Linked DNA regions of Arabidopsis thaliana. The protein of the gene in region 2 interacts with the protein of the main gene of each other region in a pairwise test. Each region holds a gene or a part of one and is shown on either strand. Other genes may lie near its edges. The genes, in order: AT1G05020, AT3G11130 and CLC2.

Region 1 (8,279 bases), on a different chromosome or scaffold from region 2:
TATTTCTCTCTCTTCCGTCTAGTCTAGCTCTCCGATCATGTGGGTGACGAATACCGTACTTCTATATCGACCCAATTCTATGAACCGATTAACCTTTTCTTACCCGACCCGACTCGCCCACTCTCGTAAAGCCTCTTCCTTTTCCCGTTTCTTTCGGTCTTCAAAGAGGAAGAAGCGGGTTACGACATTGTCGACGAAGAAACCAGGTTCAGCTTTCTCACCTCCATTGACTTACCAATCTCTTTGCCAATGTTTATCTGTTTGAAATATTCTAACTTTATTCAAAATTTTAACAGATGACGATCACGAGATATCGCCAGTTCCGCCGGAGAAATTCTCCGCTGATTTGGGATGGTTATCGGCTTTTCCTCATGTATCAGTTGCTTCTATGGCCAATTTTCTCTTTGGTTATCACATTGGGTAATAATATAGCCAATTCACTGTTGCCAAATTTGTGAAGTAACAGTCGTTGTTGTTTGTTTCACTGGCCTAGTTTGATTTCTATACCAGAAGATTAATCTCTGTTCGTGTAGTAGTGTTAATGCTTGGTTGTGTTACAGAATTCGAAAAAAAGTTTCATTTTGACATTGCTGGTGAGAAACAGCTTCAATTTGAGCTTACAAAGATGTTGATTAGATTGTTTTTACAGAGTGTTGATTTGTCCCCGTCTTGACAATTTGTTAGCTTCCAGTGAGAAGAATATGAGTTAGTCAGGTTGATCTGGATTAGTTTTTCGAAAGCTTAGTACTTATAATACTATCAGTTTGTTCTTGCAGAGTGATGAATGGCCCCATCGTGTCTATTGCGCGTGAACTTGGGTTTGAAGGCAATTCTATTCTTGAGGGTCTTGTTGTGAGCATATTTATTGCCGGTGCATTTATTGGTAGCATAGTCGCCGGTCCACTAGTTGACAAGTTTGGCTACCGACGCACCTTTCAGATTTTCACGATACCCCTCATTCTTGGTGCCCTTGTGAGGTAATATCTTGTTACTAAGGTGAATCTTGATTTCGTTATGTTAGTAACAATTCCATGATGATGTTTTAAGTTGTGAGGTAGCAGCATAACTAAATTTTACTTTTTCTCTCAGTGCACAAGCTCACTCCTTGGATGAGATCTTATGTGGAAGATTTCTTGTTGGTCTTGGTATTGGCGTCAACACAGTTCTTGTTCCAATATATATATCCGAGGTAATCTAATATGTGATTCCTTTTCAACTTCATGTTTTAACTATTTGGCTTCTTCTGCTGTAAGATCTAGGACATTTCTTAAAATTGATCCTATGTACTCTCAGACTCTCAGTACAATAAGTTGTGGTTTAGCATTCTTTTGCTTAGCATATTTTGCATTTCATATGTTCGGCTGAAGAGTCTTGTTACTTCTGATATTAAGCCAACCATTTTTATTCTATAGGTTGCTCCGACGAAATACAGAGGTTCCCTTGGAACTTTATGTCAAATTGGCACTTGTCTCGGGATAATCTTTTCTCTTCTCTTAGGGATTCCTGCAGAAGATGACCCTCATTGGTGAGCTTCATTTAGCTATCTATACATTTCACTCTTCACTTCATTCTCCTCATGTATACTACTGTTCAGGTGGAGGACAATGCTCTATGTAGCGAGTATGCCTGGTTTTCTTCTTGCACTTGGTATGCAATTTGCAGTAGAAAGTCCCCGTTGGCTCTGTAAGGTATAAGTCGCCTCTTTTAATCATGAGGAAGCATTGATTTTCCATGTTGAAATCGTGTCTCATGATACTTGTTTAGGTTGGACGACTTGATGATGCCAAAGTAGTGATAAGAAACATCTGGGGAGGATCTGAAGTCGAGAAAGCTGTAGAAGATTTTCAGTCGGTTATGAAGAATAGTGGCTCCAACTTAAATAGCAGATGGCTGGAACTCCTTGATAAACCACATTCACGAGGTCATGTTAAGGTTGCTTTTAATGTTAGTTCTAACTTCTAAGGGTGTTATATTATACCATAAATCAGAAACTGAAAACATTCAAGTTTAAGAATAACCTTTTCCAGGACTTTGATCTAAGAAACTGAGAATATATAACTTCATACATGAAAAATCTATGTAGCTAAATTGTATGTCTTGTTGATATAATGGTTGCAGTTGCATTCATTGGGGGCTCCCTTTTTGTCCTACAGCAATTCGCGGGCATAAATGGCGTTCTTTATTTCTCATCTTTAACATTCCAAAATGTTGGAATCACGAGTGGTGCTCAAGCAAGTCTATATGTTGGAGTCACAAATTTTGCAGGTTCTCAAGTCTCACCTATATCAACTTTAAATTTAGATGATTGTTTTTTTCTACTGTTTCCATCACAATGTCCCTTTTCTGAACTGTTGGGTCTAATAGGTGCTCTGTGTGCGTCTTATTTGATTGATAAGCAAGGAAGAAAGAAGCTTCTTATCGGTAGCTACTTGGGAATGGTAAATATCTTTTTCTTTTATCACATAAACTCTTTTGCTTTTCACTGCTTTAGCTTATTTTGATTGAATTGATTTGGTGTCACAGGCAGTCTCTATGTTTCTTATTGTTTATGCTGTTGGTTTCCCCTTGGATGAAGATCTGAGCCAGAGTTTGTCAATACTTGGAACACTCATGTAAGTAGCTTGAAGTCCAGCAATTACTAGTCTCCTTTTCTCAGCTCATATAGTACCCAAAAAAAGACAGAAACGTATCATATGTTTGGTCCTGTTACAGGTATATATTCAGTTTTGCAATTGGAGCTGGTCCTGTAACAGGTCTCATCATCCCTGAGCTAAGCAGCAACAGAACGCGTGGAAAAATCATGGGTTTCAGCTTCTCTGTACATTGGGTATGTGTTTTTTTAGTTTTCCCATAAATCATTTTATAACCTTTTGAAGTTTGAAGAATGACGAAGCAAATGTTCTTCAGGTCTCCAACTTCTTGGTTGGTTTGTTCTTCCTGGATCTGGTGGAGAAATACGGGGTTGGAACGGTCTATGCCAGCTTTGGCTCAGTATCATTGTTGGCAGCGGCATTCTCACACCTCTTCACGGTGGAAACAAAGGGTCGATCACTAGAAGAGATCGAACTGTCTTTGAACTCCAGAGACGACCTGAGTTAAAAAAAAAAACGGTATAAGTGAAAGAAAGAGAGAAAGACCTCAAAATTTTTATCAGTTTTTCATCAGTTGTTGTAAAATGTAAATAGCCTGGAAATTAGCTTGTGAGAAATCTTGTGAGTATATAGATATACTTAGGTATGTAAGAAAAGATTTATAAAAAATGCGAAAGAAAGTTGACAAGGATTACACAAAATACATACTTATGAAAGGTTTGTGCCTATTTACAAGTGGTAAGACGTTCTTGATTTATAGCTTAATGTAGTAACATTGTCTCGATCTAGACTATACATGCTTACCATGTCATGGTGAAAATCGTGAGTCCATAACTCATGATCTCTATATATTCATATTCATATATAATACTGGTTTGCACGTCTGCAAACAAAGATAAAGATTTCTGATAATATTAAATTTATCCCAAGAATATTGAATATAAAGATGCTAGCTGGTTCTCTGAAAAAAAAAAGCGTACACAGCTTGTCATTGAATTTATAACCTATACGAATATGAGGCTCGTAGAAACAACTCTTAAGGAATTGTGAGAGAATGTTACTTTTAGCCGATCAAAAAATTTGTAACATAAATACACTGACAAGATATTTGTATTATAATAAGTTTTCGAAATTTGAACACAATTCTATGCATCATGCTTTTTCTTCTAACAAGAAGAAGAATTTAAACACAATTATATATTTAACGCGCCAAAATCGCGTGTGAAGTCTCTCTATTAGTCAACGCTATATCTTGAAAGGGTCTCGAGACTCTCCAGCCATTTTATTCTGCCTTCCTCTCTATATTTAGAAGAACAAAAATTGAAAAAAAAATCCTTAGAGAGAGGAAAAAAATTTAGAGGAAAATCTTCTAATTTGGTTTTAATTCTTCGTGATTAATCGCTAATCCAGAGTGATTAAGAAATTAAAACCCCTTGAGGAACAAAGAAGACGTTTGGGTGAAATTAAAAGCGCGACGACGAGGACAATGCCGAGCAAGCTTAAAAAAGCGATTGGTGCGGTTAAAGATCAGACAAGCATTAGCCTCGCCAAAGTTGCTAACGGAGCCACCGGAGGCGGCGATCTCACGACTCTCGAAGTTGCGATCTTGAAAGCTACGAGCCACGACGAGGAAGTCCCAATCGACGATCGACTCGTAACAGAAATCCTCGGAATCATATCCTCCAAGAAATCTCACGCCGCCTCTTGCGCCGCCGCGATCGGTCGCCGTATCGGGCGTACACGGAATTGGATCGTCGCGCTCAAATCCCTAGTCCTCGTCCTCAGGATTTTCCAAGACGGTGATCCTTATTTCCCTCGCGAAGTCCTCCACGCCATGAAACGTGGCGCCAAAATCCTCAATCTCTCCAGCTTCCGCGACGATTCGAACTCGTGCCCTTGGGATTTCACTGCTTTCGTCCGTACATTCGCGCTTTACCTCGACGAACGTCTCGATTGCTTCCTCACCGGAAAATTACAGAGACGGTACACAAACCGAGAACAAACCGGAAGAATCAGCACCAACTCAACAACAAGATCCCGGTTTAATCCCAAAGCCGGAATTAAATCCCACGAACCGGCGGTTCGAGATATGAAACCGGTAATGCTTCTTGACAAAATCACGTATTGGCAAAAATTACTAGACAGAGCAATCGCGACGCGGCCGACGGGAGACGCGAAAGCCAACAGGCTCGTGAAAATGTCGCTTTACGCCGTCATGCAAGAGAGTTTTGATCTTTACAGAGACATTTCCGATGGATTAGCGCTTTTGTTAGACAGTTTCTTCCATCTGCAATACCAATCTTGCATCAATGCGTTTCAAGCTTGTGTTCGAGCTTCGAAACAGTTCGAAGAGCTTAACGCATTCTACGATCTTTCCAAATCGATCGGTATAGGAAGAACATCGGAGTATCCTAGCATTCAAAAGATCTCTTTAGAGCTTCTTGAGACATTGCAAGAGTTTTTAAAAGATCAATCGTCGTTTCCAGCGAGCTCAGGGTTGTATCCGTCACCGAATAGTTTTCTTCCTCCGCCTCCATCGTCCAAAGATTCAGCGGTTTCAAGCTCGCTTGATTTTGGGGATTCCACGATTGATACGTCGGAGAGGTATTCAGATTACGGGTCGTTTCGTAGTACTTCGTTGGAGGATTTGATGAGCAGGACTGAAGCAGGGACTAGTAGTCCTCCAATGTCTTGTCATTCTGAGCCATACGGAGGAGGACGAGATGATCCTAATGGGAATAATTTTGATACGGTTTCGACTAAATCGCTTCCCAATAATCCCTCTGTTTCTGCTTCCAATCTCATATTAGACCTATTGTCATTGGATGACGTAAGTAACACGGCAGAAGCAGAAGATGTTGAAGACAAGAAGAAGCAAGACGATTCAAAGGCAGAGACTTTCGATCCTTGGGAGGCGTTGATGTTGAGAGATGATCCGAAGAAGAAGATAGAAACGATTGAGGAGGAACCTTCAACCGCTGAGGACCATCAGAGAGATTCAGGGAATTGGTTGCTTGCGTTAGAAGAAACTGCTACGCAGGTGCAGGGTAATAACTCGATGGCGATAGTACCGTTCGGGTTAGATGATCCGATGCCTGCGTTTCAAGCCGCCACGGACCAATACAACCCATTCTTGGAAGAACCAGTTGCGCAGTTAGCTACAGCCGGAGAACCAATGATCACGTTCGGTGGCTTGGCTTTGACAGGGTTTCAGCCAGAACCGACATTTCAGGTGAACGTTCCTGATGATTTTGAGCCGTCTTCTACACCAACATTTAAGGCCACGGAGACTTTGCCTATGAAATGTGACCCGTTTACAACATTTGAGAGTTTTGGGTTCGGAGAGACATTTTCAGAAAATGGAGGGGTAAATCAGCAATCTGTATTGCAAGAACAGCAGATATGGTTGCAGAACCAGAAAAAGATCATAGCCAAGCACTTGAGTTGATACAAAATTTATTTGGCTAGACAGAGGTTGAGATGTTTCTTTGAGTTTTTCTTTTGTTACATTGTCAACTTAACTCTTAACTCATTTTTCCATAACTTAGAGAAATGTGAAATTCAGAAATTCTTTGATTAAAAAGATATTTCCGCGGATTCTATCTTCGTACTTGCATTCCTGTGTATACACGATGTATTTTGTGTGTCTTGTATCATAATCACATTGAGAATTTGATTTTCAAGTATATCTCAACGAATAACACTCAAATATCTAAGTTCACCTTCTGAATACATTTACGTACACGGTACACTTTGGGATTTACTTTTGAATATGTTATTTTCTTTGAAGTTTTTGGGAATTGAAATTTAGCTAGCATTTTGATCATCGTGATGATGTTATGTAGCATTTAGTTTATGTATTTTTGAAAATATTTATGTATTCATTTTTAGTCTATATTAATATAACAAGTTTTCACATAATCACACAACAGATGCATGCATCTAATGTGTGTGTATTAGATGAATGTATCCGATATGCGTATTAGATGCGTATATCTGGCAAACAATTTTTTGCATTTTATTTTCCGATATGCATGTATTTATGTGTTATGATATGCATCCGTGATAATGCGAATGATAAAATGAATGTATATCGGTGGAAGATAACGAAGAGGGAAGCCAAATGGAATAAATTAAGGAGGTCCACTAGTAGGTCAAGTTGGCTTTGTGGTGTCGATAACATGAGATTGACCAAAGCTGTAGCTTGACCCCAAGGCCACGAGGGAGAAAGATCTACCAAACCAAAATCATCATAACACATCTCTTTCTAGTATATAGCCCACCACAAATATTAATTCTTTTAATAGTTATACACCACAAATTTTATCCCCCATTGGCCATTGACTAGAGTCGTTTTCGTCTTTGACAGTGGTAAAAGCTTCTGTATATGTGAATTTAGGATTCCACCTTTCTTAGGTTTCTCATTACAAGTTGATTTAACTTCTTGACTTCTCAAGTTGTTGTTTTGTAATTTAGTAAAAATTTGCTTACAAGTCATACATGATTGAATATAACACCGGCTGCTAAGCCTATTTTTCTATCATAAGTTTCGCTTTCGAGTCAAAATGTTAGTCAACATGAAATAAAACACGTTTCTTTATTTGTTTTGCTTATTGATCAACTTTAAAATAGTCCCATAAAATAGCAAATATTAAGAAATTTCAAATCAATACATTAGTTGCCAAAACCCGTCTGTGATATTATACTTTTTGAGGCTCCATAATAATGACGTGAGATTTGTTTGTGACTGAGGAAGTGGAAAATAAAGTTAAGCATGTCTTACTATTATCAAATATCAGTTTTTCTATAACAAAGTATGAATGTTGATCAAAGACAAAAACAAAAAAAAGGTGATCCACCTTTCTCCAAATAGAAAGGAAGTAAGGCAATGAATGTTTTTTTTTTTTTTTTCCATTGCATTTGCTTTTAAATCCTTATAAGAATTTGAAAGAAAAATATCTTATCAACTCTTAGAGGTGATCTTTGGGCCAAAGAGGGAACCACGTAATCGAATCTGAACTTCTCCGCTTAAATGGGAAATTTTATTAGATCTGATAAACGGCCAAAAGTGATAGCTCATGATTCTTAATATAGACGTGCATACAGAGATGTTGTTACCGGCCGAAGAGCAGCTTCGTAATCAACGGACACAAATAAACCACTATTGGTCCATCAAAATTAATACAAAACGAATGAAAACTGCTGTGTCATAAGACTAAATAATTTTGTATATTATTATGATTTAGATGGATGCGGTCTACAAATTTTTTTAACAAAAACCAACCATTAGTTTGTTTAAGTTACTTGAAAACAAGAAAAGGTTCAGTGAAAGGTGATATATAAGCTATTATTATTATACACAGAGTAAAAGGAAGAAATGTGAAAAGGAAGATTAATCCACACTAAAAGTAAAAGGAAGAAAACGGGTCAAACAATGAATCGTCTGACTGAGTAATAATATACGTCGCTGTCATATATTTTGTATAACCATAAATTTTTTATATTTTTTCCGACCCAAATTATTTTTAGTTTTCTATAGCTAGTTACTAAATTAAAGGTGATGAATAGTAATCATGACTTTATGTCACACGATAAGGTTATTATCACCTACCTTTGAGTATATTTAGGATTTTCCGAAGACTTGGACGACCCAACTCAGTTTGGATAAAACCTTGTGGTCTATTCTAA
Region 2 (8,424 bases):
TCATACATGGAAATACATGTTTAGTAAAATATAATATTTGTGGTAATTTCAAAAAAGAGAATCGTTTTCCCAAATTTTTACTATACAAAAGATCTTTTACTTAGTTTGTATCATATTTTCCTCATTATACACATCAACAATTCAACAAATATCAATTTTGTATAAAGATGATTTTATCATGTTTTTCTTGTCTGTTGGTTATATTTGTGTATTCCTTCATTTTGCGATTCTAAAATACTAATAAACACATATAAGAATATTTATCGGTTCAACCAAAAAACAAATTTCCGTAATTAATCATTCCTCTATGTTGTTAGATAACAATTTTCTTAACAAAATTGCTAAAATCTGTAATGGCAAACCCACATATAAATAATATTTGCCGCCTCTAGTTTAAACAAGCATGTAAAAACGTGTTATCGGAAAAAATAACATAATAATTGTAAAATAAATATGCAAAACTTATGTCATTGAAAGAAAAAAAACATGATAAATGTACTTGGTGAATGGTGATATTGTTTTTAATTTTTACAAATAAGATGGTAGAAAATTAGGTTATACATAATCCCGCACGTGTGAGTAAAGCCTTATATATTCCATGCGTACACGCAAGTTATACATATGTTTTCACATATACGCTCTGCCTCTTCCAAAGTCACATCCATCTTTCAATGGCTTTCTCTTCAGCTCACCTCAACCACCACCAACCTTTGATCAAGCACGGTGGAGCCACGGCGGCGCCTCCTCCGACCCCGTCATGCTCACATCTCAACACCACCAGCAAATCGGAGACAGCAGTTGACGCTCTCTCCAGTCTTTTCCACCGTCTCCCTCCTTTGCTTTCACTCCCCAACCGTCGCTCCATCCCTTCTCTTCCGATGGTATCTCTCTCCGCCGGAGATAGACTTGAATGGGACGATCTTATCTCCGCCGTGACTGATTTCGGCTATTTCCAACTCATTAACGATGACTCCGATATTCTTTTCCCTCCTGGGATCGCTGAAGCAGCCGAGTCTGACTCACTCTCGCTCTTAGAGCTCAGTGAAGAGAAGAAGGAATCATCGTTTCCGAAGAAATGGCCGCTAGGCTACGAAGCCGATGCTGAAACGCCATCGTTTTGCCTTGACGCCGACTGTTCAACCGACTCGAGCGAGTTAAATCTGAGTTCGCTCCGTGAGTTCACTCGGACTCTAGAGAAAGTTGGACTGAAGACGGTAGAGATGCTGGCGAATGCACTTGGGTTTGGATATGATTCAACCCGGTTTAATACTCTGATGTGGGTTAACCAAGGTGTTCCTGATGATGAACCGGAGGTAACCAACGGATTTTATCCTTTTGTTGTTTGTTTACAGTATCAGATAAGGGAACAGAAGTATTGTTTGCTAACCGAGTCTGGTTGGGTGTCCGTTTTACCCCGAGTTGACTCGGTTCTTGTGACGTTGGGTGACATTGCTCAGGTTAGTTCTCTTTTGCTTTTGACAATTGACAGAACACATATATCTCTTTTATTTATCTATAATTAATTGGTTAGTTGTCTTCCTTAAATAATTATCAAATTATCATCCTTTGTAATGGAACTTTATTCCACTATACCGTTAACTGGCTGTTTTAATGTATTTTAAACATTATCCAAAATAAATGTTTTCCAACGCATCGTTCAAAAAGAGAACAAGAATTTGGATATTTCCGATATTTATTGTTGACAACAACAACAATTGTGGAGCATAACCGGGGAATGTGTTTTCACTTTTCGTTTGAAACAGATTTATGGCATTGGGAAAGAAATAAGAATTTGGAAATTTCCGATATTTAAATACTTATACACATCACATCGCAATTGTACTTAGTGTCCTATAGAATTCAACAATTCTTTTTTTTTTAGGTCAAAACCTAACAGCTTTCTACAATATAGTTTTCAACTTTTGAACAGCTAACAAACAACTTAAAATTGGCAGGTTTGGAGAAATGGAGAGGTCAAAAGAGTGAAATATCGACCAGTGTTGTGTTCAGGACAAAAAGATGGTCCAGTAAAGTGTGTAACAATGACATTGATGCTTACACTTCCCATGGACAGTATGGTTTCATCATTGAAGGATATGATCAGTGACGGCGACAAAGAAGAAGAGTATGCAGAGGAGGAGGAAGAAGATGGAGGAGCAAGAAGTGATGAGAGAAGGGCATTTAGGCCTTTTAGTTTCAAGGAGTACGCATGGAGAGTGTACCAAGAACGTCTCTTCTTCAGGGATCCACTTGACAGATACAGAATCAAATCTTTAAAAGATTGACGAACCGATGTTTGATTTGTTTGTTTCTTTCTTGGGTTGAATTGGTACTATAGTTCTTGTTGTTACTTTTTTTCCCCCATAAAATCTTTTGATTTTCAGCGGATTGTTAGCATTTTAGCATTGAGATATTTTTGTTTTTGTTCGATTCAGTTCAGAGAATGTTCTATTTTGATAGTCACTCCATCATTCAACTAATTTTTTCATATATACTCATATCAAAACTGTCACTATTTCAAAATCAAACTTTTAGGTTACACCAATGACTCTATCACACTAAACTCAACTCCTAGATTTTATATAGAAGAATCTATGACTTTGATGATGTACTTTAAAACTGAGTCTTTTGAGATCATAACCAAATTCTACTTCATAACTTTTGTTTTCCAATGTTGATTATTTGTTATAATTAGAAGGTGACACAAACGCTTATAGCATCCTGTTTTTGAAAATGAGGAAATACAGTGTTGGCTTTTAATCTCTCATTGAGGCAGAATATCAATGAATGACTTCAAATCTACGTATACATGTTTACTTATTTAGTGATCCATATTGGTGTTGCTCTTTAATTTTCTTGTGAGAATGAATTATATACATCAAAATTGATTATATCATTTAATTCGAGTTAAAATTATAAGTAATACAATCTTCACTAAACACTAATTAAATCGACGTAAATTTCTTATACGATTTTTTCATGCAACACTTAAATCGACATAAATTTAAATATTTTGGTCTTCATACCCTAATTTTGATAAGATATAATAGAAAATTTCGTATATCTTTTTTTTTTTTTGGTAAAAAGTTTTTTTTTTTTTGTTTCATCTCCATATTTAGAAAATTTATTTCAAACTTCGTTCTCGTTTGTGTTCATCTTAATTTTTAACCATGATTGAGTCATTGACCATTGCTCAAAACATACGCATAAAATTCCCAAAAAGTAGTGTGTGTCGTGACAAAACCCGACCCGTCGATTTACGCGGTTTGAAACTCGACCCGAATACTATCCGAACCCGTAACTTTGGCAAAAGCACATCGTACAGCTCAGGCACTTGTAGCACGTCGTCTCTCCTTTGGTTTCTCTCCTTATATTCGACGAGTGACTCCGATTGGATCGCTATTTCGTCATTTCTCACTTTCCAAAAAGAAAAAAACGAATCTCTCTCCACCATCATCACCTTTCTCCTTCACTTGCCTCAGATCTGGCTGCGATTTCAAATCTTCCTTAGTTTCTCTCGCATCGCTCGGCCGTTGACGGTCCCGTCCTTTCCGTGGATCTGATTCTGGCCCCGGATTCTCTCGCCGCGATCTGAGGTCAAACATGGCGGCTGCTAACGCGCCCATCATTATGAAGGAGGTCCTAACGGTGAGTTCTCTGTTTTTAAATCTCCGGGAATCGAGCTAAAATTTTGGACGATTAACATGTTTCTATAGTTGTAGTCTCTGATTTCTATCGATTTGGTTCTGCTCACACTGTTATATGATTGATTCAAGTTTCATTCTGTTCTCAATTCTACCCGATCGTTGAGATCAAGTTCTCTGATCAGATTTTCTCTGCGGACGCTCAGATCTGTGTTATCTGAATGTATATAGTCCTTAGTTTTAAGTTATTGTGTTGCGCAATGTGCTTATCTACTCGGATCTTGTAACTAAGTTAATGAACTATGCCAATTGATTACTTTTGTTTTGGAAATTTTCCAGCTTCCGAGCGTTGGGATCGGTCAACAGTTCATCACCTTTACAAATGTTACTATGGAGTCTGATAAGTACATATGTGTACGAGAGACGGCACCGCAGAACAGTGTTGTAATTATCGATATGAATATGCCGATGCAGCCTTTAAGGAGGCCTATAACTGCTGATTCTGCTCTTATGAACCCAAACTCGAGGATCCTTGCCTTAAAAGGTATTACACTGTTTCCTTCGATCGCATTATCACTTATAACACCCATAAGATTCTCCTTTTGAAGTGTATGATCAGTTATAAGACCCATAAGTGGTTCCTATTAAAGTTTTCTCCAGAACTACCATTGATAGCTTCTCCTTCATTTTGTTAACTGTACATATGCTATTTATTACGGATAGGATGTTTTGATTTATTTGAAGTTTAAATGACTCTGTCCATGTTGTGATGCGTCACTTGATAGAAAACCTATTTTTATTAAAGTAGTATGGAAGTGTAACTACACTCTTCGAGTTTATGTTGTAGTCCTATACTCTTTTTCTGGATTTGGGGTGATAGCATGTTTAATGCTGTAGAAAACATCAGTATAGCGCTCTCTGTTTTCCAACACGTGTTATATTTCTCGTGGCAGTGTTGTGTCTCAAGCTTAGTGTAGTTAAACTAGAAATTTTGGTTTGTACTGGATGTTTCCTTGTATAAGCTATTACTTATTTCTTCCTTAATTTGTTGTTAACTTTTTCTTAAATTCGTATCGTATATAGCTCAAGTTCCAGGAACTACTCAGGATCATCTACAGATATTTAACATTGAAGCAAAGGCAAAGTTGAAGTCACATCAGATGCCTGAGCAGGTGAATTTTGAAGCAAACAAATTGTAACCCGATTATCTTTCATGTTGTACTCTTCAGACAGACTCTGATTTTACTGGTCTGAATTTTTTGGATATTATAGGTTGCTTTTTGGAAGTGGATCACACCTAAGATGCTGGGACTGGTCACACAAACTTCTGTGTATCATTGGTCAATTGAAGGTTTTATATCTTTAACTTACTGTCAGCTTCTTCATATCATGTATATGTTGTTTCTCATTTTTGCTTCGATATTTCCAGGTGATTCTGAGCCAGTTAAGATGTTTGATAGAACGGCTAATTTGGCAAACAATCAAATTATAAACTATAAGTGCTCTCCTAATGAGAAGTGGTTGGTCTTGATTGGAATTGCCCCTGGCTCTCCTGAGGTAGGGTTCCTGCACCACGTATTAGGTTGAATTAAGACATCATAACGGCAGTCATGTTGTATATTTTTGACGGAATCTTGTCATTATTATCCTCTGTAGAGACCACAATTGGTGAAAGGAAATATGCAGCTTTTCTCTGTGGATCAACAGCGGAGCCAGGCCCTTGAAGCACATGCTGCATCTTTTGCTCAGTTTAAGGTAAACTATGTGATACCTTTGCTACTTCATTCCATGGTCGGATCTTGAACTGTAGTATGACAAGCGACATTATTATTGATAGGTCCCTGGGAATGAGAATCCTTCGATTCTTATATCATTTGCAAGCAAGAGCTTTAATGCTGGGCAGATAACATCAAAGCTGCATGTTATTGAACTTGGTGCCCAACCAGGTTAGCTTAAACTACTGCTCTATATTTTCATGGTTATTGTTAGTTGGTATTAGTCTGATGTTTAAAGGTGGGCGGCTTTTTTTCAGGGAAACCATCATTTACAAAAAAGCAGGCAGATCTCTTTTTCCCCCCAGATTTTGCTGATGATTTTCCTGTGGCCATGCAGGTTTGTAGTTGCATTAGCTGTTCAATTAACTTCAGTAAGTTTCTTGTGAAAAATTCATGACACCGACTTCTCTTTCTCCCAACAGGTCTCTCACAAGTTTAACTTGATTTATGTCATCACCAAGCTTGGCCTGCTGTTTGTATATGATCTAGAGACAGCTTCTGCTATCTACAGAAATCGGATAAGTCCGGACCCAATTTTCTTAACGTCTGAAGCTTCCTCAGTTGGGGGTTTCTATGCCATTAATAGGCGAGGACAAGTTCTTTTGGCAACAGTAAATGAGGCCACCATAATACCTTTTATTAGTGGTCAAGTATGTTCAACTTTTACTTTGTTCTTCTCTATATAATCTATCTATTCATCATGACATGCTAAGAAATCTATGCCTTTATATTACAGTTGAACAATTTGGAACTTGCTGTCAATCTTGCTAAAAGAGGAAACCTCCCTGGTGCAGAAAATCTGGTATGTGATAATTATCTTGGATCAGATGTGTGGATCTATTTTCTTGGTGAAGTCATTATTGTGCCAATTTGACGAAAAAGGTCATTCTGATAGAAACAATAATGTAGAAAATTAGAAATCGAGATTTGACGCTTCCTCCGTTTCAATATACAAGTGCATTTTTGACATTTTCAAGCAAATGAAAGAATAATTAAATGTTACATGATATCCTAGAAGACAATTGTCTCTTGGATTTAAATTCTATTTCACATTGTTAATTAATATTTAAATAGGGGTAAATAGATAAATGTATTACAAAATTTACATTGAATCGTAAGATGACACTTTGAAACGGAGGGTGTACATGTTAATGTTAAAATTCTACAAAAAACTAAGTGAATTTGATGATAAACCTCTTCCAAACTCCCAAGACATCTTATACCGATAGAGACTAAAGATCCATAACCTATTTAAACCATGGTTACTTGAAAGTAAACACAGTTAAACCCTACTAACCTAAAAACACTTAGTAAATATCATAAACTCCTTAGACCTCTAAACCCATTGCTCGAATTACATTTCTTAATGCAAAGTTCCTCATATTCAATTTTGATGTTACAGGTTGTCCAGCGGTTCCAAGAGTTATTTGCTCAAACAAAGTACAAGGAGGCTGCTGAGCTTGCTGCTGAATCTCCTCAGGGCATTCTACGGACACCTGATACGGTGGCCAAATTCCAGGTATATGTTCCATATTCAAGCAAAGAATCCTCTGTGAACATGTTGTCTATAATGTATGTTTGTAACACCAGTCTGAAACTACAACATCACACTTTACAATTTTGCAGAGTGTTCCTGTACAAGCAGGGCAAACTCCTCCATTGTTACAGTATTTTGGGACCCTTTTGACTAGAGGGAAGCTCAATTCATATGAGTCTTTGGAACTATCTCGGCTTGTTGTGAATCAAAACAAAAAGAACCTCTTGGAAAACTGGTTGGCAGAGGATAAGTTAGAATGCAGTGAAGAACTCGGAGACCTTGTCAAAGTAATCTTAAAATGACCATTTTCATTTAAAGTGTCTCCTATGGGCTTCTTTAGTATGCTGTAACGGTAATATTTTCTGATTCAGACTGTGGATAATGACCTTGCTCTAAAAATATACATCAAAGCTAGAGCTACTCCAAAAGTCGTTGCAGCTTTTGCAGAGCGAAGGGAGTTTGACAAAATATTGATTTATTCAAAGCAGGTAAACAATTAAGTTTTAAAGTTTGCCCCCTCCGTTGTTATGTTTACCCTAAAGGTCATTGTGCTCAAGAGGTACCATTGTTTTATGTTGTGACTCTAGGTTGGGTACACACCTGATTACATGTTTCTTCTGCAAACGATACTCCGTACGGATCCTCAGGTTAGTTTGCTGCACTTTTGATACTTTGCAACATATTAAACTGTGGAAGGACTGGTTTACTAGATTCTTGTTCCGTAATCACAAGAAGAGTCATAAATTTTGGCCTGCTGTTGTTTATCAAGCAACTAAGCTTTTGCCCTGTAAAAGATCAATAGTCTTTTTTTTCTGCTAATTATCTTCTTTTTTTTCCTGCTAATTGCAGGGAGCAGTAAATTTTGCTTTAATGATGTCCCAAATGGAAGGAGGTTGTCCAGTTGACTACAACACTATCACTGATCTTTTCCTTCAGGTGAACACGTAGAATATACTGTGTACATAAAATTGTATCTCATTACTTGTTTCACAAGAGAGCTATCATGTGCTAATGTACTTACTTTTGCATATTCAGAGAAATCTGATCCGTGAAGCGACTGCTTTCCTTCTGGATGTTCTGAAGCCAAATTTACCCGAGCATGCTTTTCTGCAAACTAAGGTTGAAAAGAGTTGCCACCTTTTACTTCTCTGTGCTTTCCCTACTCACCTTCCTTTCTTAGACCTTTTAGTGCACTCTCAACACAGGTTTTGGAGATCAATTTGGTAACCTTTCCTAATGTGGCTGATGCAATCTTAGCAAATGGGATGTTCAGCCATTATGACCGGCCTCGTGTTGCTCAGCTTTGTGAAAAGGCTGGACTTTACATCCAATCTTTAAAGGTTTTTGCTCAATGTCTTCTTTAATATTCTTGGCCTAATAGATGTATTTTTTTTTCCCCTCTAACTTCGTTTCCTTTTGCTTTGTGCAGCATTACTCAGAGTTACCTGATATCAAACGTGTAATTGTG
Region 3 (7,419 bases), on a different chromosome or scaffold from region 2:
TTTGTCCTAAAATCAGGTTTAGGGTTTCAGTGACCGGTTTAGTTATAAAGTCTAGCGGCATTGTAGTGATGTTTTGACATTGACTATTTATCGAGCAATGCATTTGCCATCTCATTTGCTTCTTGTTTGAAACCTTCGAGAGACGAAAATGATTGCCTTTCTAATCGCATAAGCACATGGTTAGAAATTATATCTTGTGTTGACCGATGCAGCTCCTCCGGCAGAAAATCATCTAATTCAAAGAGCTCTTGTGTAATTGCACGAATTGAGAAATCAGTTTAGTTTTATGAAATTGAAATCAATAATAGAGAAATTACATTTTATTCAGATGCATGGATACATTGTTTAAATACATTCATATGAACATTCAACACGGTAGCCTACATCATATATTTTCCCTATACAACGGTTCTTGCAAGAACCACATAATGGTCGAGAAATATTACATTTGGGAAGAACTTGAACCCTGCATACCCATTTATTGAAATATTGACCGGGCTTGATATATGGGTCTCCACCAATTAAGCATTCAATATGAAAAGTGGTGCAACACTCGTTGCACCAGTAGAATACTTTTGTGCATGTATCCTTTAAACTACGTTCACATATTTCACACCATTCTTGCTCACGTACTTCTTCACCAAATGAAATTGTGAGGAAGTGTGTGTCATGCTTATATTTTATTTTGTATGGTAAGGTAACACACTTAAAACATACAATGAAATTGCATTTGATGCAATTTAATTGTTTTAAACATTCTGTTTTGCATATATGACATATGGGTTTTATTTCTGGGTTTAAAGCTAGGAACAAGGGATCTTCATGACCTTTGTAATCAAACGGCTCAGAAATTAAAGCGCACCTTACATCAAGCTTGAAAAAGTTGCATACCTCCATCCTACAGTGATAGGCAAAGCCAATAGAACCACGATCACAAGCGTTGCAACGGAAGGTATTGTAAGTAAAGCTATTGATAACCTCCAATACAAGTGGGTGAGGATGTAAGGCATGTTGGATTCTACGGGGAGCCTTAGCACATGTTTCATGGAGGATGAAATCACACTCCATACAAACATATAAGTTACCTTCATAGATAGGAATGGCACACGCTTGACAAAGCATGTTTTCATCATAAACGTTGCTGACCTCGAGTCGGAGATGATGATTATGATGAAAATAAAGTATCACTCCTTCAGATATCACCTCGAACGGTCCATCATTTTCTGTTATATCGATTATCTCTGGTATACCTTCGAGTTCTTTTCCATCCCACACATCTTTCCCAAGAGCGCATATTGAATGAACAACATAATCGCTACACGTGTCACAAGTATATGCACCATAATCAACGTTAATACTTAAACGGCAAACTCCACAAAACCATTCTCTAGATGTAAGAGAAAAAGTGAACGAGATACGATGACGGTGACGTGATATCTTGATGATGTGTGGGGAATTCATACAGTCATTATGAGTTACAAAGTTACATCTGAAACAAACGTAGGTGGGATAAATTTTTCTCAACAAACCACAAACATTACAAGTCAAGGAAGTTTGTCTGGGGAAAAAAGTGAGAGGATGGATATGCTTTTTTGGTGGGTCTATAAGAAAAGGTATTGGCTTCATCGCACATATGGGATGCATAAAAGCCTGGCATGTGGTGCAATGATAAATCAACCAATGTGCTTTTCTTCCACAACATAAACACTCAATCTTACGAAAGTTATCATCATGAAAGAAAAGTTGGAGATAGTGCTCAGGGTGGTAAGGATGTTTGATTATAAGTGGAGATTGAATGCATTCTTTGTGTAATTTTATGCTACAATAGTTGCAGAAATAATAGTCGGTGCCGGAATTTGAGCCTTCGCATATGTAGCATCCACCATCAGCATCAAATTCTTTATTGTTGCACCAAAACAAAGGGAGTACATGATGATCATGAGAGGTCGTCGTTGTAGAAAGGACGTACTCGGGGGAAGAATTAAGCGGATAAGTGTCTGAATACGACTTGATTTTTCGACGTCGTGATCGAGGGCATAAGAAAAGAGGTTGAAGGTCACTGGAGGAGGTTACGGTCTGTGTTTGGGGTATGGGGCAATATTTCGGATGATGGTATACCAAAACAAGGTTACCATCCTTTTCCACCTCATAAAATCCTCCGACGCTAGAATCCATGAATGTGTTAAGTCTTTGTTTATTTTTGTTTTAGGCTTTTATAAAAAAATATTTGTCATACAAGATATCAAGTTGTTAACATTTTTCCTCTATAAATACGAAAATTTGATTCCAAAAGTTTTCTTCTACTCTTGATTATTAATATACTTAAACGTGAAAACATATGGTTGATTTTGTTCCTTTTCTCAGTAGTTGTGATGATAATGTTCTTCTTTACATGCAAATAAAGAATCAACTTTTCTTTGCACATAGTTTTGTTCATTTCTGATGTTCCATGACTTCAAGACTCTATATTAATCGTGCTCAATGATTGTGCCAATTCATTAGTAGTGTATAATTTGAGACTTTGTGAACTCAATCACGAAACACACAAAAAGAAAATGAAGGTTTATTCAAAAAAAAAAAAAAAATGAAGGTTTGAAATGGAAAATGAAACAATCGTACCAAAACCAAATTGCAAAACGTTTTAAACAAGAAAAGAAGAACACGTAGTTTCAATGATCCGGTTGAATTAGAAAGTAGAACAACCGAACCCACACTAAATTGCAAAACGTTTTGATTAAGATAAGAAGAACACGTATGGAACATTAATTGTAATCTAATGGATCGGTTGGAACCTAAACCATAACTAAACCGGAATACTCATGATGAATTGGAAGTATTTGGGCTCGAAAAAAGCCCATTAAGAAAAATGGAAATAAAAATAGTCACAAATCTCCGTTATTAATTTTTGCCATAAGCTTGAGAACACTTGAAAAGACAAGATTCGCGAGTTCTTCGTTCTGCCTTTTTTTTTTTTTTTGTGTGTTCGAGAGATGTCTGCCTTTGAAGACGATTCCTTCGTCATACTCAACGATGATGCGTCTGAGTCTGTTCCAGTCTCAGGCTCTTTTGACGCCACTGATTCTTTCTCAGCTTTCGACGGCTCACTCCAAGTCGAGGACTCCGTCGACGATGTTTTTGCAGCGCCGTCTTCTGACTACGGTGCTTACTCCAACGGTGACGGCATCTTCGGATCCAACGGGGATCACGACGGTCCTATCTTGCCACCACCGTCGGAGATGGAATCAGATGAGGGATTTGCTCTTAGAGAATGGAGAAGGTTAGATCTACTCAAAGTTTTGATCTTTGTTGCTTTTTGTTTACTTCTTCCTGAAGAAAATCGATAAAGTGGATAAATTTAGTTGAGAATCTCTTTGATAATCTGAGAATTTCAATTTTGAATTTTGATTCACAATTTTTGTGAATTGAAGTTATCTGCTAGTTAGTGTCCATTGTTCTCAGAAGTAATCAGTTTATTAGATTGGATCTGTTACTTTTGCTTAGAGTTTATTGCTCAAATCGTGTGTTCTAGAATAACATCTTGATCCGTAAGCTTGTAATGCTTGTTGAGTTGATTAAGATGTATAGATCTGATTTCGTGCTATGGCTTTATTATGTTTATGTGTAGACAAAATGCAATTCAACTTGAGGAGAAGGAGAAGAGAGAAAAGGAATTGTTGAAGCAAATTATTGAGGAAGCTGATCAATACAAAGAAGAGTTTCATAAGAAGATTGAAGTAACTTGTGAAAACAACAAAGCAGCTAACAGAGAGAAGGAAAAGGTTTGTTCTTTTGCTAAAAGATTTGAATTTTTTATCATCTTTTCTCAATCTGTGTTGTTGTCATGTGGTTTGTGGAGAATTGTCAATGCAAGTCAATGGCTTGTTGATATTAAAATTTTCAAACTTTGACCATCTTAGTCTTAAGTCAACTGTGATTGATTATCTTAATGCATTGTCAGTTTTGAGATTATCTTAATACATTGATTATCTTCATTACGTGTGTGATCTTTGATACCTTTTTATCTGCATATTGCATTGTTACAGTGTTGATTAAACTTTCACTTATGTGTTTATTTGTCTTTGAACACTTAAGCTGTATCTGGAGAACCAAGAGAAGTTCTACGCGGAATCCAGCAAGAATTACTGGAAGGCAATAGCAGAGCTAGTTCCTAAAGAAGTTCCAACAATAGAGAAAAGGAGAGGAAAAAAAGAGCAACAAGATCCTAAGAAGCCAACAGTCTCTGTGATTCAAGGTCCAAAGCCCGGTAAGCCAACCGATCTAACAAGAATGAGACAAATATTGGTGAAGCTCAAACACAACCCACCTTCTCACCTGAAACTCACTTCTCAACCTCCATCGGAGGAGGCGGCTGCTCCTCCAAAGAATGTTCCCGAAACCAAGCCCACTGAGGCAGTTACTGCTGCTTAAAAACCTCCTTTGTTTTCTTATTCGTTGCTTACATCTGTGTGAATTCAGTCTTTGCATTTCATTATGTGTTATAAACAGCTGAGAGATTTTATGGTTCATGTGTGTTATTAACATAATTATGTCATATTGGAATGATAACTTTTTATGTTTTAGTCAGTTACCATTGAATAGTGGTTAATATCTCAAATCAATCGGTTAAAGGATCCATCCATTTTAGGGTTAAAGTAGAGACGAGAGTGGAGAGGTTTACATAAAACATCAAAACGCTACTTCACATATCATCATTATCAAACTCGTGTGATAATTAAAACTCACAAACAATAAAAGAGAATCTCAAATGTGAACGTTTTACAAAAGGCTTTTCTTCTTTCTTCCTTCATCTCCCTTGTAAGCTTGCAGGGGACCTGCAACCTCTCTCGCTGCCTGCGTCGTCTTCCTTTTCACTTGCCTCTAAGCAAATGCCATTGTTGTTGCAGACACTGATCTCTGAGCTTGCGTTGCTGCTTGTTGCTAGTGGAGAAGAGTCTGAAACATTCATCGGTCTACCACGTGTATGTCCAGACCTCACACTGTACATTGATGATGCTGGAATATTCGTCATTAGTGGTCTCAGGTTCCCTGGAATAGTTCTACGTATATCCTGTTTTCATCAAAACGTTTGATCATCAGTTAAACGCAATTGCCACCACTTGAGGAAGAGAGAAGAGAGAGATACATACCATATGCCTTATTGCCATATCAAGGGACTTCTTGGAGAGCGTTCTTCCAAATCCTGCACTGTCGGGTGATGAAGACTTTGCAGACAAGTTACCATGAGGAGAACCCTTGTCATCTGATCTGGGTGGAGCAAGTTTCCGCATGTTTATTACTCTCTCCACCATTTTTGTTCCCATCATCACCGGACTAACATTGTCACTGGCTTTGGAATATCCACGATTAACCGCAGGAACAGAGCTACCACTAGAGTACATTGGTGCTCTTCCTCTTGATGGTGAACATGATTGCCTTCTTGGTCTTCCTCCTGGAGGGCCCCCTGGCTCAACTGAACCAGAACGAGAGCTTGGAGCTCCAGGTCTGCCTCTTGTCGCTGAAAGTGGCCTTTCGGGTAATGTTGTCCTTAGATTTGGAGGAGTTTCTAATGAGAAACCAGGCATGTCTGACGGCTTCCATGGTCTTGACCTCACTGTAGGAGATGCTGCACGAGATAAAGCAGGGTTCTTAGATGGTGTTGGCATAGGCTTTGCTGGCGCTGGAGAAGAAGGCTTGATTTGGGATATTGTGGGATTTGCTGTAGTAGTTGCAGCACTTGCAGAAGCAATTGGACGGCGAGTTGGTGTAGATGACCTTGATATGGTTTTAGATGGAGGAAGTGTGGGTCTTGAAGTTGGTGTTGAAGATCTGGCAGTAGATCTTGACAGAGGTGTGGTGGACCTTGAAGGACCTGCAGATTTTGTGGTGGTGCTAGGGGTAGATCTAGTTACTGAACCAGCAGATCTAGCAGTTGAGGTAGTCGGCTTAGATGCAGTAGGTGTGAGCCTAGATGATGATAAACTTGTTGACCTACTCATAGGCGTGGGCTTAGTCGTTGCAGATACTGTGGACCTCGAGTTAGTCAAAGAAGGTCGAGTAGCTGAGGAGACAGTGGCTCGCGAAGTGGGTGTTGAAGGCCTTGAGGATTTTGAATTTGCCGTCAGTGTTGATGATCTTCCAGTGGGTGTGGCAGGTCTTGATCCAGGTCCTCCAGATGATGAAGGTCTTCGACTTGCTCCACTGGAAGAGCTCAATCCAGGAGAAGAAGTTTGTTGTCTAGATGTTAGATGGTTCCTTGCAGCAGACTCTGTTGAGGAATTTGCCAGCTACGACAGATAATTCATAGGTTACCATAACGAAGTAGTGAAAATGTGCTACTCTAAAAAAAATCCAGAGCAACATCCCACATAGCAATAACGATAAATGCGATTTACTAGTGTAAATCATGAAACTTGAAATGTAAACGTCACAGACTGATGCGGCAGGTTAAACTAGTAGTGGCGATTCAAAACATATAAACAATAACAGCAGAGCTTTATTTTAATACTGGTTGCACTACATTAGGTTGTTTATCTAGTATCCATTCCAGGAGTTGATAAAAGAGGTCAGAACACTAAGCAATAACATTCTTACTCTGGAAGTCAATGTAGCCGGGCGACTCTTTGAATCACCAGTCTGACTCATCATAGTCCTATGTGATTCCATCTCCAGCGATGGAAATAGAGGCGTACCTGGAGGGGTCAGAAGCCTTCGAAAGACAAGAAGAAGTTAGGGTGGAAATGATAAACAGATAAATGATATATTGTTCAAGAAAGTATATGAATGTCTAAGAAGAGGTAAACAGAGATGCTGGAATGATGAACACCTTATGCAGCAAAATTCTAAACTTGATAAGAATTCAGTGCAAGACTCGCACACCTCACAAACAAAGGGTTCCAAATTGTGACACCAAATTCGAGTCTATTAGATTAAACACATGCCTTATACAGAATGATGTAATGTGAAGAAACAACACAATTTCAAGGAAACAAAACTACCACACATATATTACTTCAGAACCTCATGGTTAAGATACAGCAAATCAGTAACTATACTATCACAAAGAATACTTAAACCGCCTGCACTTAAGGTGGCTAAGAAAATTCAAACCATCACCGGTGAATATGTTACTGAAGTAATGAACCATAGCGTCGCAACATGAAAGTTTGTGATCAAAAAGTTACCATTCATAGTCATTTTTATCGCCTTCAGAATTGAGAAAATCATCAGGAGCAGCCTTCCGAGATGGTGGAGCACCACTTGAGATGTTAAACACCGGCGAAGTTCCATGCTTTGAACCTAAATAGACCAAACCCCATCAATAACTAATCAACCTCCAAGCTCAAATCAGAAACCTGATTCCACAAAATTAGAAAGAAAGAAAACATATTACATACCTAATGGAGTTTCAAACTCATCAGG

The links.
Region 1: the proteins of AT3G11130 (region 2) and AT1G05020 interact in a two-hybrid assay, tested with the Arabidopsis thaliana proteins (one study listed by BioGRID).
Region 3: the proteins of AT3G11130 (region 2) and CLC2 come close enough for resonance energy transfer, tested with the Arabidopsis thaliana proteins (one study listed by BioGRID).

The regions. Positions count from the first base shown.
Region 1 is NC_003070.9:1,433,144-1,441,422, reverse strand, and holds AT1G05020 (ENTH/ANTH/VHS superfamily protein), read left to right. Parts: upstream 1-3,659; 5' UTR 3,660-4,077; coding exon 4,078-6,039; 3' UTR 6,040-6,268; downstream 6,269-8,279. Other genes in the region: AT1G05030 (Major facilitator superfamily protein), read left to right, coding at 38-206, 297-420, 777-977, 1,090-1,189, 1,413-1,525, 1,595-1,688, 1,765-1,921, 2,119-2,265 and 4 more. UniProt on the Arabidopsis thaliana protein: Adaptins are components of the adapter complexes which link clathrin to receptors in coated vesicles. Clathrin-associated protein complexes are believed to interact with the cytoplasmic tails of membrane proteins, leading to their selection and concentration.
Region 2 is NC_003074.8:3,486,847-3,495,270, reverse strand, and holds the start of AT3G11130 (Clathrin, heavy chain), read left to right. Parts: upstream 1-3,205; 5' UTR 3,206-3,603; coding exon 3,604-3,648; intron 3,649-3,983; coding exon 3,984-4,188; intron 4,189-4,727; coding exon 4,728-4,816; intron 4,817-4,916; coding exon 4,917-4,995; intron 4,996-5,073; coding exon 5,074-5,201; intron 5,202-5,300; coding exon 5,301-5,399; intron 5,400-5,481; coding exon 5,482-5,590; intron 5,591-5,676; coding exon 5,677-5,756; intron 5,757-5,841; coding exon 5,842-6,069; intron 6,070-6,155; coding exon 6,156-6,221; intron 6,222-6,821; coding exon 6,822-6,938; intron 6,939-7,045; coding exon 7,046-7,243; intron 7,244-7,327; coding exon 7,328-7,444; intron 7,445-7,543; coding exon 7,544-7,603; intron 7,604-7,805; coding exon 7,806-7,892; intron 7,893-7,991; coding exon 7,992-8,075; intron 8,076-8,161; coding exon 8,162-8,296; intron 8,297-8,385; coding exon 8,386-8,424. Other genes in the region: AT3G11150 (2-oxoglutarate (2OG) and Fe(II)-dependent oxygenase superfamily protein), read left to right, coding at 672-1,457, 1,956-2,285. UniProt on the Arabidopsis thaliana protein: Clathrin is the major protein of the polyhedral coat of coated pits and vesicles. Mediates endocytosis and is required for a correct polar distribution of PIN auxin transporters.
Region 3 is NC_003071.7:16,723,574-16,730,992, forward strand, and holds CLC2 (Clathrin light chain protein), read left to right. Parts: upstream 1-2,850; 5' UTR 2,851-2,990; coding exon 2,991-3,277; intron 3,278-3,625; coding exon 3,626-3,779; intron 3,780-4,092; coding exon 4,093-4,428; 3' UTR 4,429-4,634; downstream 4,635-7,419. Other genes in the region: AT2G40050 (Cysteine/Histidine-rich C1 domain family protein), read right to left, coding at 346-2,175; AT2G40070 (flocculation FLO11-like protein), read right to left, coding at 4,805-5,068, 5,148-6,284, 6,592-6,706, 7,182-7,296, 7,395-7,419.